Linked DNA regions of Arabidopsis thaliana. The protein of the gene in region 2 interacts with the protein of the main gene of each other region in a pairwise test. Each region holds a gene or a part of one and is shown on either strand. Other genes may lie near its edges.

The links.
Region 1: the proteins of MHK (region 2) and AT2G46900 interact in a two-hybrid assay, tested with the Arabidopsis thaliana proteins (one large-scale study listed by BioGRID).

What each region holds. Positions count from the first base shown.
Region 1 is NC_003071.7:19,267,281-19,273,128, forward strand, and holds AT2G46900 (transcription factor-like protein), read left to right. Parts: upstream 1-2,277; 5' UTR 2,278-2,397; coding exon 2,398-2,556; intron 2,557-2,794; coding exon 2,795-3,315; intron 3,316-3,420; coding exon 3,421-4,341; intron 4,342-4,424; coding exon 4,425-4,707; 3' UTR 4,708-4,983; downstream 4,984-5,848. Other genes in the region: AT2G46890 (3-oxo-5-alpha-steroid 4-dehydrogenase (DUF1295)), read right to left, coding at 1-78, 280-543, 630-854; AT2G46910 (Plastid-lipid associated protein PAP / fibrillin family protein), read left to right, coding at 5,147-5,299, 5,374-5,496, 5,589-5,723, 5,809-5,848.
Region 2 is NC_003075.7:7,601,552-7,608,404, forward strand, and holds MHK (Protein kinase superfamily protein), read left to right. Parts: upstream 1-1,549; 5' UTR 1,550-1,760; intron 1,761-2,099; 5' UTR 2,100-2,395; coding exon 2,396-2,403; exon of another isoform or gene 2,404-2,463; coding exon of another isoform or gene 2,464-2,495; coding exon 2,496-2,574; intron 2,575-2,652; coding exon 2,653-2,721; intron 2,722-2,778; coding exon 2,779-2,895; intron 2,896-2,990; coding exon 2,991-3,129; intron 3,130-3,216; coding exon 3,217-3,319; intron 3,320-3,421; coding exon 3,422-3,474; intron 3,475-3,662; coding exon 3,663-3,729; intron 3,730-3,834; coding exon 3,835-3,943; intron 3,944-4,029; coding exon 4,030-4,095; intron 4,096-4,208; coding exon 4,209-4,277; intron 4,278-4,366; coding exon 4,367-4,424; intron 4,425-4,516; coding exon 4,517-4,621; intron 4,622-4,710; coding exon 4,711-4,745; intron 4,746-4,830; coding exon 4,831-4,876; coding exon of another isoform or gene 4,877-4,902; exon of another isoform or gene 4,903-4,971; coding exon 4,972-5,050; coding exon of another isoform or gene 5,051-5,054; exon of another isoform or gene 5,055-5,125; coding exon of another isoform or gene 5,126-5,128; and 3 more. Other genes in the region: AT4G13010 (Oxidoreductase, zinc-binding dehydrogenase family protein), read left to right, coding at 1-54, 157-248, 327-1,016; AT4G13030 (P-loop containing nucleoside triphosphate hydrolases superfamily protein), read left to right, coding at 5,849-5,873, 5,946-6,006, 6,107-6,283, 6,402-6,571, 6,654-6,834.

The sequences.
Region 1 (5,848 bases), on a different chromosome or scaffold from region 2:
AATGAAGTCCCAGATGTTTAGTGGCTCATCAATGGAATGGATGACATATAAAGGCAGACATATCCCAATGAGGAAGATCTGAGCAAATTTTGGAAAAAAGAAGCAACATGAGAAACAGAAAGCATATAAGCTAAGCATCAAATATATATAAAGGTAACAATGGTTCAAGCCCTTATAACCAAAAGACTATCCTGTTCTCCAAATCATCCTCATAAAGGCAAGCTTAGATTAAAAACGAGCTCTTTGAGGCAATTCATCGAACAGTTGGTGGTCATGTACCTGCTGAGAAACGTAGACAGAGAAGAAGGAGAGCCACCACCAGTGTTTCCCGTACTGTTTCCGTAAGTCGTTGAACCTCCAGTCTTCTCTAGCTCCCCATTCCCAATTTTCCCGCCGGAAGTAGTTATGAGTCAACCTAATGCTCCAAATCCATGTCAGAGTTATGACAATCATGGATCTCAGCTTATTGTACTGTGACAATGGATGCGAAGCGAAGTAATGAACCAGCATTACAGGTATCACTGTCCAATACACATCGATCATCTGCAAAATTAACGAATTTTTTCAAAAACTAAAAAATTGCGAATTTTAACAAATGGGTAACAGATTTGGAGACTATGGATGCGTACCCAGTGGCTAGATTGGAGTAAACCGATGACCCAGAAGAGCACATTGACGTTTAAGAAGAAGAGAAGGTTTGCTAATAGAAGAGGATGATTCAAACACCATGATTGAATAGAAGAGAGCTCTGAATCGGAAGATGAAGAGTAATTACTGAGAAAGGTGAGGTAGAATACGATAGAAGGAAGTGGAGCAAGAAATGCGACAATGGCGTTTCTAAGATTCCGATTCATTTTCTCTCGAATAAGTCGTTGATGTTGGGTTGGCCTGTAGGAAGGAGAAAGAGAATGCAATTTATAAACTGAGCTTAAAGAATATCTTTGGACTTTTGGGTTGGGTTCTTTGTGGCGTGTATGGGCCCATGTTGGCCCACTTTGATCACTGATATGATTAGAGTCTTCTGTTTAATTATACTTTTGGTGAAAATTAAAATATGATCAACTGTAGATAAAGATATTAGCTTTTTGTAAAAGAGCCGAAAAAGTCAGTAATGAAGAAAATAATTGGACTATGATTTTGTATCGTAATGATTATGGTATGAGATTTCTGACTATTAAGTAATGAAAGTAATAGTGTAAAATATATACATTAAACAATATAAACTCAAAAATTATGAAATGTAAGTGGTTAAGCAGAAATAGGGACAAATGATTAACAAATTTCAGAGCATGGGGAAAGGGAATCGCAATAATAATAACTAGGATTTAATCCGCGGTAAACCGCGGACAATCGGTTTATTTGGTTTTTATACTAAATATTTGAATAAATTTGATATTTTAAATTTATAAATATAAATTTTTTAATCAAACATAATTAAATAATAATTGGGATTTTTTTTTGTTGTTATTTAGTGATAAGATAAATGTGTTAAAATGTGTTTAAAAATGTGTATGTAATTTTAGTGAAAGTAAAATATTTACAAAAATGTAAGATTCACAAAATTGGTATAATATTTTTTATGATTATAAGTGTTTTTTTTAACTATTTGACAGGTTATACACTTTTTTGGCAAAATAAAGACCATATGAATTATGTTATTTATAATTATATGTCTTTAAAGTGAAGATAAAAAAATAAAATTATTTCACTTATTTTTGTTGAACGGTTTAGATTGAAGGGAATTAATTTTATTGAACGGTTTAGATTCAATCAGATCATATAAAGTTTAGAAGATTATTAAGACCAAATTATCTTTAATGATTTTGAATAGCAAATAACAAAATCCAAAATTGAAATCAAAATTGAGGCCAAATTAGACAAAATTTTACTTTGTACTTCCCCTTTTAATAATAAGGGGATAGTGAATTCGTTATTACAATACTTTTTGAAGTAAAAGTGAAGATATCACTAAAGAGATACAATTTAGCTGTGCTCGTGGTGACTCTAATTATTAGCTTAGCCGAAAGCATTGGATTCTATAAATTAACCAACTTTATATGCGGTCCAAATTCGAACTTTAATATAAATTTATGCGCCAATTGTGTCAAGTAAAACGACGTCGTTGAGGTAAAAAAGGGATTGTAAAACGCCGTCGTTCTTTCTCCCGCATCTCGGTTGTTTTCTCTCTCTCCCGGAATAACAATCTACAGTTCTACCGGTTTAAATGTACCGGTTAAGTAAAAACCGGAAAGATACCTTGTTCTCCTAAAAAGGTTGAGAGAAGCGAGGGATTAGCGTGTATCGACGAGATAATCATCTAGTCGTCGGTGTCGCCGCCTTTCTCCGCCGTCTGAAATCGTCCTTGTTCGATTTTCCGAAGACGAAGCAGGAGAAGATATGTCTGGGAGGTTGCTGAAGAAGGTTCTCCAGGAACATGAAGATTCGAAACTTCAGAAACATCACGAAGAAGAAGAAGAAGAGGACGAAGAAGAATCAGGAGCCCGTTCTTCGATTAATCCATTCGATCTCTTGAACGATGGTGATGAAGATCCTGAGGTCAGTCTCTCAGATTTTGACGATTAGATTGTTCGGTAGATTTAGTATCTAGAATTTTATCCTCCTCCGTGTTCTAAAATAGCTAATGTGTTGATAAGTTTGAATGTAGATAGTTTCAATGGTTTGATCTTCAGATTCTTATGGTTTTTTATTCTGATGTCTAGAGCTGATTCATATTTTGTTGGTCGTAGGAGTAATGATTACAAAGTGTTTCTGTAACAATTGGGTTTGATTGCAGGAGATTGATGATGAGACTATAGCTGAGAAGAAGAACGAAGATGCGGATCATCAGTCAAGTGTCGCTGATCATGTGCAGCCGGTGTCAAAGAATAAGTCGAAGAAAAAGAAAAAGAAGAAGAACAAAGAGAGTGGCTCTAATGTGCCTAAAGCTGAAATGACTTTGGATGAAACTTTGGAAGCACTTGGTCTCAATGCTAACTCTAAGCAAGATAAGGTTCAGGAGACAAAACCAAATGCTGATTCTTCCAAAAAGGCTTCTTCACGATTTGTGTTGGAAATAGATTCCAAGTATCTGAATCTTGAGAACGAGTTGAGGAGAACGTATGGTTCAAAGGCTATGCGATCATTTGAGAGTGAGAGTGGCTCTCAAGGTGGTAGTAGCTCTAGACGAGGGGGAAGGCGTGGAGTCCATCATATCACAAAGACGGTTCTGGTATCTCCAAAAGAGAATTGGTCTCGATGGGATAGATCTTTCTCAATGGAGTTTCTAGAGACTAAAGATGGTAACAACTACTTCAGGTAACAATTTTTACAGCTTTTTGTTTTTTCGTTGGGTGTGTGTATAGAAAATACAGACATTGTAAATTTGTACATCTGATGAAATACTTTTCTTTTGATGTGTAGATATACCCATTCATCCTCATATGAGCAGGCTCAGAGAGCATTTCAGGCTGCACAAGCTATCCATGATTTGAATGGTGTAGCAAGTGTCCTTATACACAATCCTTACCATATTGAGTCGCTCATAACTATGGCGGATTACTTTAAGTTTGTAGGTGAGAATGATATGGCTGCAGATTCCATTGGAAAATGCTTGTACGGTTTGGAGCGTGCGTGGCATCCTATGTTCACTCCGTTCCAGGGTAACTGCCGGTTGGAGTTTAACCACGATGAAAACAAGCTGTTCTTCAAGACGCTTTTCACTCACATGAGAAACATGGACAGGCGTGGCTGTCATAGGTCAGCGTTGGAGGTCTGCAAACTCTTGCTTTCCTTGGACACGAGTAATCCTGTGGGCGCTTTGTTTTGTGTGGACTACTTTGCTTTGAGAGCAGAGGAGTATGCGTGGCTGGAGCAATTCTCGGAGGAGTACCGAAATGATAACTCATTATGGCTCTTTCCGAATTTCTCTTATTCGCTTGCAATAGCACGAGTTTATCTTGAAAAGATGGAGCCTACCTCTTCCTCAGAAGCCACTCCCAGAGATACTTCGAAGCAAAGCTCTTTGGATCTCATGACGCAAGCTTTGAAGCTTCATCCAACAGTACTCAACAAACTAGTGGAAAAAGTACCTTTAAAAGATCAGGCATGGACAAAGATACTCAAGCATTCTTACTTCCGATCAGATGAATCAAAGATCCCGTCTTTAGATCACCTCATCAAAATATATGTTGAGAGGAATTATCTTATATGGAGGCTTCCAGATGTACAGAAATTGCTTCGGAGCGCTGCTGATTTAGTCATTGAATCTCTGGAACAAGATGGAACCGAAGCTGAGAGCTGGCTTTGTGTAAGATTAGAAGCTTTCTCTTCTGAGAATAACCAGTAAGCGTTTTGAACTCTCACTCACTTGTCAATTTCTTTTTTTTTGGCTAGAGCTGATCACGTATGGTTCTAACCCATTGCAGGTACTCTCATTTATCAACCCATGATTTCTCTGATTCGATGCCAACTCTCCCACCAGACAATTTGCAGAACTTTGTGGCTGATCCAAGAATGGTGGGAGGAGAGCAAATGGCTGAAGGTGGCGGGAGAGGTCAACACCAAGCACCACCACCACGTCCACGTGATTTGGCAAATCGGAGTCCATTAGCTGTGTTGATTGAGTCAATACTTCCATGGGCTAATTTTGGAGATGGAGAGGATGAGATTGCACATGATGCTCACCACCAACCAGACAACAATGGCTAATCAATGGCTCTAACTGAAGAAAGAAGAAAACTGCTTTAAAGTTTACAAAATGTGGCCTTCCTTTTGTTGTACAGTGCCATTTTGATGGTTTAGTCTATGGATCATTTGTTACTTGGGTAAATCGGACTTGGTCATTTTCGATTCATGTTCTGGTGGAATAATTGACAGCTTTCATTGCTCAAAGGCTCGGTTAAGGTTTGAGCCGGTTCACGATGTCAGGTCAAAATACTGCCACGTATTAAAATAAAAAAATGAAGAGTAATTATAGAAAATAAAGCTGTCTCATCTTCCTCAGTTCTCAGTTTGTCACCATCCTCGAGCAGCTTTTGAGCTTTGAAGGTATCGACTAAATTATTATTATTATTTTTTTCTCCTAGACATTGTTACTCTTTGGGGATAAATTTTTTATCTTGTATAAGCTTATCCATCAGGTTCGAAAATGGATCGAATTGCGTCTGCGACTTTCTCTTGCCCTGCGATTTCATTGTCCCGCGTCTGTAGAATCAGCCCTTTTGGCTTAAACATTAAAACCAACCATAGAAAGAGATTCTCGTGTCGAGTAGCTGTAGCTTCTGGAGAGACTTCGGCCAGGGTTTGTTCTCTGCACATTTTTGTTTTTGGCTCGTCTGAAACAAATGATTTGAGTATGTTTCGGTGATAACTCAGGTCGTCGTCGACAATGAACTTGACTTAGAACACAAGAAACACGATCTACTGAGAGCTGTTCAAGACACTCAACGAGGACTCACTGCCACTTCTGATCAACGATCTATCATTGAGGAGGCTCTGGTACAGCCATTGCATTGGATACTGTTGATGTATGATATTGAGTGACGATGTTATATTCTTCAATGAGTCTGGATTTGGTAGAAACTTTTCAGGTGACTGTGGAAGGGTTTAATGGCGGTGAAGAAATTGATCCAGTGAAGTTAGATGGAACATGGAGGCTACAATATACATCTGCACCTGATGTTGTTGTTCTGTTTGAAGCTGCTTCAAGACTTCCCTTCTTTCAGGTATATACTACTAATGATAATGAACAAAGCAGAGAGAGACTTTAGTTTTGGGCTTCGGTTTTAATCCTGTGTGGATTTTGATCAGGTAGGGCAGGTCTTTCAGAAGTTTGAGTGCAGAGATAGAT
Region 2 (6,853 bases):
TTCAGAAAGGAATGATCCGCCCATTTCTGCCCCGCAAGTTCCCCTGCATTCCAGGTATTCTAATAGCTTTGAAGATTTTAGTTTCTGTATAGAAGAAAGAGGTTACTTTGCTTAGAGGTCGTTGAGTTTGGAACCTTTGATATTTGTTTTGAACAGCTACTGATGTTGCTGGAGAGGTCGTTGAGGTTGGATCAGGAGTAAAAAATTTTAAGGCTGGTGACAAAGTTGTAGCGGTTCTTAGCCATCTAGTAAGTTTTTTCAGACAGACAAGTAGAAACTTTAATTACCTTGAAACATGTTAAGGGAAACTGATTTTGTTCTTTCAGGGTGGAGGTGGACTTGCTGAGTTCGCTGTTGCAACCGAGAAGCTGACTGTCAAAAGACCTCAAGAAGTGGGAGCAGCTGAAGCAGCAGCTTTACCTGTGGCGGGTCTAACCGCTCTCCAAGCTCTTACTAATCCTGCGGGGTTGAAGCTGGATGGTACAGGCAAGAAGGCGAACATCCTGGTCACAGCAGCATCTGGTGGGGTTGGTCACTATGCAGTCCAGCTGGCAAAACTTGCAAATGCTCACGTAACCGCTACATGTGGTGCCCGGAACATAGAGTTTGTCAAATCGTTGGGAGCGGATGAGGTTCTCGACTACAAGACTCCCGAGGGAGCCGCCCTCAAGAGTCCGTCGGGTAAAAAATATGACGCTGTGGTCCATTGTGCAAACGGGATTCCATTTTCGGTATTCGAACCAAATTTGTCGGAAAACGGGAAGGTGATAGACATCACACCGGGGCCTAATGCAATGTGGACTTATGCGGTTAAGAAAATAACCATGTCAAAGAAGCAGTTAGTGCCACTCTTGTTGATCCCAAAAGCTGAGAATTTGGAGTTTATGGTGAATCTAGTGAAAGAAGGGAAAGTGAAGACAGTGATTGACTCAAAGCATCCTTTGAGCAAAGCGGAGGATGCTTGGGCCAAAAGTATCGATGGTCATGCTACTGGGAAGATCATTGTCGAGCCATAAGAGCGTTGTAGCCATCTTTGACTGTCTGTGAATGTGATAATAGATGTTAAAAGTTTGCGTACCGTTTACAGAATGTTTTATGTTGTTTTGTTTAATATACCCGAGTATGTCGAAAGTTACATGAAAAGAAAATTTGGATGAAATAAATAATACTTGTTAGGTATTTTAGTTTTACCATACCGCTGAAGTTGAACCGAAACTGAGCATGGAATCGAATAAAACAGACCCAACAACATCATAAAGCCCAATAGCCCATTAACGACTTCGTCAATTCCCCTATCTTAAAAAGACTTTCTCCAGTAGAATCTTCCGGTAAATAAAACAATAGTCGAAGGAGATTTCCGTCATTTCAAATGGTAAGAAAACCAGAATTATTTAATATCACTCTCTTAAGGGACCACCGTTGCCTTCCCCACCACAACCAACCATTTTCCTCCATTTTTTTCTTTTTCCTTATTAATATTTTAATAATAATACAAAAATCAATAATTATCTTCTTAAATATTTAATTTAATTAATTAATTATGTATTTCGTTCTTCTTCTTCTTCTTCAATTTCTTCTTTCTTCTCCCATGGCTTCCTAAACAATCTGCTATTCCTCTCTCTCTTCTTCACCTATAGTTTATCTCTTTTTTTTTGTTTTGGCTTCTCTTAAATTCACTTTCTCTAAAACATAAACGACATTGATGTTTCTTCATCAGATCCTTTAATTCTTCTCCAATTCTCATTCTCCTTACATCAATGGTGAGAATTTTTTTTTATAGATTATGTTTTTAATTCTTGTGTTCATGTAAGATTTTTTTTTTTTTTTTTTTTTGTGTTTTATTGTTTTCTTAATTCCGATTGGATTTGTTTTTTGTTTATTTTTCTCAATTTTATCTCAATTTCTTGGACAAATTGATCTTTTTTTACTCTACAAATAAATAAAGTTTGAGACTTTATAGCAGAATCTTCATATGTAGCAATTGAAGATTTTTTTTTCTTTTCTAAACCGATCTAAATAGATTAAATCATCATTATTGAAAACAAAAGATTTTGTTTTTATTTTGATTAAATCCTTTTTTTTTTTTTTTTTTTTTGCAGATAAACTTTGTAGTTGGAGATTTGTTGTGGATGAAGATTATTGATTGCAGCTTATAGGAAGCTGCTCTTTTTGTTTTGAACAATGTTGCTAACTTTTCAGATTCTTATAATTAATCAGTCTTATGATGAGAAGTTGGTTCTTGATTACATACTACAATCAAGAAGTAAACAGTTTATGCAATCTTGTGACGGTTCTTGTGTTCAAAGAGTAGATACTTGTTCTTCAAGGTGGAGGTTAACAGAGGACAATTGACGGGGTTTTTAATCGTTGTTGTATTGCTCGAATAAACGGAATCATGGAAAGGTTTGTTCTTGTTCTGTTCTTGTTGTTGTTTGTATATATATTGGACATGGTGAGAAAGTGATGATGGTGTTTGTGGTTTTTGTTATGTGTAGGTATAAGATTTTGGAAGAGCTTGGTGATGGTACTTGTGGTAGTGTATATAAAGCAGTAAATTTGGAAACATATGAAGTTGTAAGTTGTTGAAAGTTTCTCTCTTTCGCTTATCTTCTAGTGTGTAGCTGATTCTATCTCACCTTGTGTTTTCCTCAGGTTGCTGTTAAGAAGATGAAGAGAAAGTTTTATTATTGGGAAGAGTGTGTGAATCTGCGAGAAGTTAAGGTGCGGCGACTCTGTGTCTGTTGTTTACTTTCTGTTATGTCTATGTTTGTGTTCAAGGATGGTGATGTAGTTTTACGTTTGCAGGCTCTTCGTAAGCTAAATCATCCTCATATCATAAAGTTGAAGGAGATTGTGAGAGAACATAATGAGCTTTTTTTCATCTTTGAGTGCATGGTAAAGGCGATCTCCGCTTTTTTATCTTCTGTAGGATTTTTTAGTCTGATGTTAGAGAATATATTCTCATTGTTCTTGGATAATGATTTGACTAGGATCACAATCTGTACCATATAATGAAAGAAAGGGAACGACCTTTTTCTGAAGGAGAAATAAGAAGTTTTATGTCTCAGATGCTGCAAGGGCTCGCACACATGCATAAAAACGGTTATTTCCATCGAGACCTGAAACCTGGTATGTTTTGGTACTTTGTATTGTATTAATTGAAATGGTTTTCGCTCTTTGAATGTCTTATAAACAAGTTTTGTTCTGTTTCTGAAGAGAATTTGCTGGTGACCAACAATATCCTGAAAATTGCTGACTTTGGGTTGGCTAGAGAAGTTGCATCTATGCCTCCTTACACTGAATATGTGTCCACACGTTGGTAAGTGATTTCTCTTTGATATTGCCTTCGCATTCATGCATGAAAGTATGTGGTATAAGGTGATATCGACGTATACCTTATTATTGGCTCTGACTGCAACAGGTATCGAGCTCCAGAAGTTTTGCTACAGTCTTCATTATACACTCCTGCAGTTGGTATGTTTGCGAAATCCTTTTGTGCCTCATCACATTTCATTAGTATCATGTGATCATGTCAAAAGTCTAGCTAAACCATGGCTAATACTTCGTGGCTTTGAATAGTTTAAGACATTTTTTCTTTCTGTTTTGTCATCTATTGGATCGCTTTGCAAATCTTTATAGACTAACATTTAAAAGAACTGCAGACATGTGGGCAGTTGGAGCGATACTAGCTGAGCTTTACGCTTTAACTCCGTTATTTCCTGGTGAAAGGTGAATTCATTTCCCTTTCAAACGATACTAGCTGAGCTTAATCTGTGTGCACACTTAAGATAGACCATTTAGTGAAAACTGATATAATGATTTCTTTATGAGTAGTGAGATAGATCAATTATACAAAATCTGCTGTGTTCTTGGCAAGCCGGACTGGACCACGTTCCCTGAAGCGAAAAGCATATCTCGAATTATGAGTATTAGTCACACAGAGGTAAGAGTTCTTAATGAAAAGATAAGAGGCTTATTATATTAACTGCACTTCAATATTGACTTTGTTCTTTGAATATCTTGTGACAGTTTCCGCAGACACGAATTGCTGATTTACTTCCCAATGCTGCTCCTGAAGCTATTGATTTGATCAATGTGAGTTCTTGTGTTCACTCTTTTTGCGGATATTTCTTACCATTCTTAAGAATGTTGTGATCTTTCAATATCTTTATTTCGTATATCATCTGTTTCTTTTTTTGAATCAACAGCGACTTTGCTCATGGGATCCATTGAAACGACCAACTGCTGATGAGGCACTAAATCATCCATTTTTCAGTGTAATTTGAATATTCCCTTGCTTCTTTTGATTTTATCACACACTCCTCTCTTTGTAATAATCGAAAATGTAATGATATATTCGGAACAGATGGCTACGCAGGCTTCATATCCTATCCATGACCTTGAGCTGAGGCTTGATAATATGGGTGAGGCTTTATTTTTCTTTGTTAATCTGCTTCGTATAGTATGCTTTCATGACCATAAGATTAAGTTCAATTATATTTGTGGTATTCTGCAGCGGCGTTGCCTAATCTTGAGCTAAATCTCTGGGACTTTAACAGAGAACCTGAAGAATGTTTTCTTGGCTTGACACTAGCTGTGAAACCAAGTGCTCCCAAACTAGGTAAGTATCATTCCCTCGTGTAGAGTTGGTCACTAGATCTGACACAAATTGACATTGACATTGAGCATGGTTTCAAATATTGTTTGCAGAAATGCTCCGCAATGTATCTCAGGACATGAGCGAGGTAAGCTCATACGCAATGAACGTCACTTATATAGCATTGTTAAACTTTTCATGAGTTGTAATAAATCTGTTGTTTACAAAAGCAGAATTTTCTCTTTTGCCCCGGGGTCAACAATGATCGAGAACCATCAGGTGATGAAAACTTGAGCATATGTTGATAAAACTGCAGATTTCTGTTATATTTCTCTGTGAAAGGTTGTTGAATATCTCTCTTTGAACATTTACAGTTTTCTGGTCTCTGCTCTCTCCTGATGAAAACGGCCTCCACGCGCCAGTTGAATCATCTCCTTTATCTTTGTCTTTCAGGTGAGATTACAAGTTGTCTCTATGGATCCATTAATGTGTAAACAGATTTGCCTAATGAGAAACATTTACTGTGAGCAGTCCAATGCAGCAACACACAGTTGGACCTCCACAGTCGAGTGGCTTCACAATGACATCATCAATGCAACCGAATATGTTGGACCGCCCGTGGATGGCCGTGTCTGCGCCGTTTCAACAAAGTCATTACCTCTGATCTAATAAACCCATACCCTAGTAAAAAAAGTAAATAACACAGAGGTTTGTCAGAAAGATTTGAGTTTAAAGAACAAGATAGCAAAACAAAACAGAGGAAAGGTGTTAGAATTTTCATTTTTTTTGTCACCAATTTGTTCTTAATTTGTAAAAATTTGGTTTGGCTGATGCATTTTCCTCTCAGAGCTTGAGCTCTATCAATATCGAACAAATAATTTCCTTATTCTTGTCTCTGTATAATATATGATAAAAAAAGACATTGAAATCTTGATGTGGCATTACCATAAAGAATTACGTTTCATTAATGTTGGTTCTGTCGTCTTTTAATATAAAAGTCTTTAACTTGTGAATCTGTCTTATCTACAAGAAAATTTAAGACTATATTTATTATGTTAATTACGATACTTATTTTAATCTATATTTAGTAAAGCGAACAAGTCCTACAAACAAACCAAAGATATTGAAAAAAAGTCACTTTGGAGATAGAACAGAATATAAAAAAGATTCTTTAAATGATCTTTTATCAAAACAAGATTCTAACAAGTCTTAGAAATCTCAAAACGAAGAACAAGTAAGAAGCTTGTAGCCATGGGTGGTGATACTTTCAAAGATGGTAAATTTTTTGATCTTTTTCTTTGAACTGTGTTTGCATGTTTGATTTAACGAAAAATAAATTATTTTTAAGATGTTGTAGATGAAGAATCTTCAAGATCATCATCATCATCTCCTTGTTCTTGTTGTTTCAGGTATATTATTATTTAATCTTTATCACTAATTTTTGTTGAGTATGATCATAATCATAATCAAGAAAGTGATGGTGGTTTTTTTTTTTTTTTTTTGGTGTAGCAGTGATGATTTAGGGTTTAAGGATGATGTTTCTGAAGAGAATTTCACCAATTTCTCTAATCATGTTACTGATTTGAGAAGGAGAGAAAAAGCTTACCAAGAGATTCTTCAAAGTCATGATCTTTTGCTTAGAACCAGCAAACGGAAACTTAGACAAGCCAGAAATGAGATTTTGAGGTATTTTTTATATATATTTAAATTCAATTCATTTAGGGAAAAGTTGTGTTTGTTCTACTTGGTGATCATACAAACTCAATTATGTTTTTGACTATTATTATGGTTGATATATGCATAGCTATACTCCTGGATCATGGTCTGATGTCAAGTTGAGTGATTACAATATTCCAAAAACGACATCGATCATGCTAGTTGGTCCGAAAGGGGCTGGGAAGAGTAGCCTTGTTAATAAGATTACAAGAGTGATCGAAGACGACGCGTTTCTCCTAGATAGAGCTCAAGAATCATGTAAATTAAGTATATATGTGTTTGCTATAGTTTCTATTTTAAAGGTGAGATTACTGATGTTTTTTGCGCTCTCATATCGCAGTTGGTACCCCGTCTAAAGGAGGAACATACTTTGTTCAGGAGTATATGATCTCGAGAGGAGGTTCCGCTTCATTTTGCCTATATGATACGCGTGGATTGAGCCGTATATCATCGTCTGATAACACTAGTATGATTGAGCAATGGATGACAAGGGGCGTGCTTCACGGCGAACCTGTCATCTGGTTTTGATTCTATCTTGAT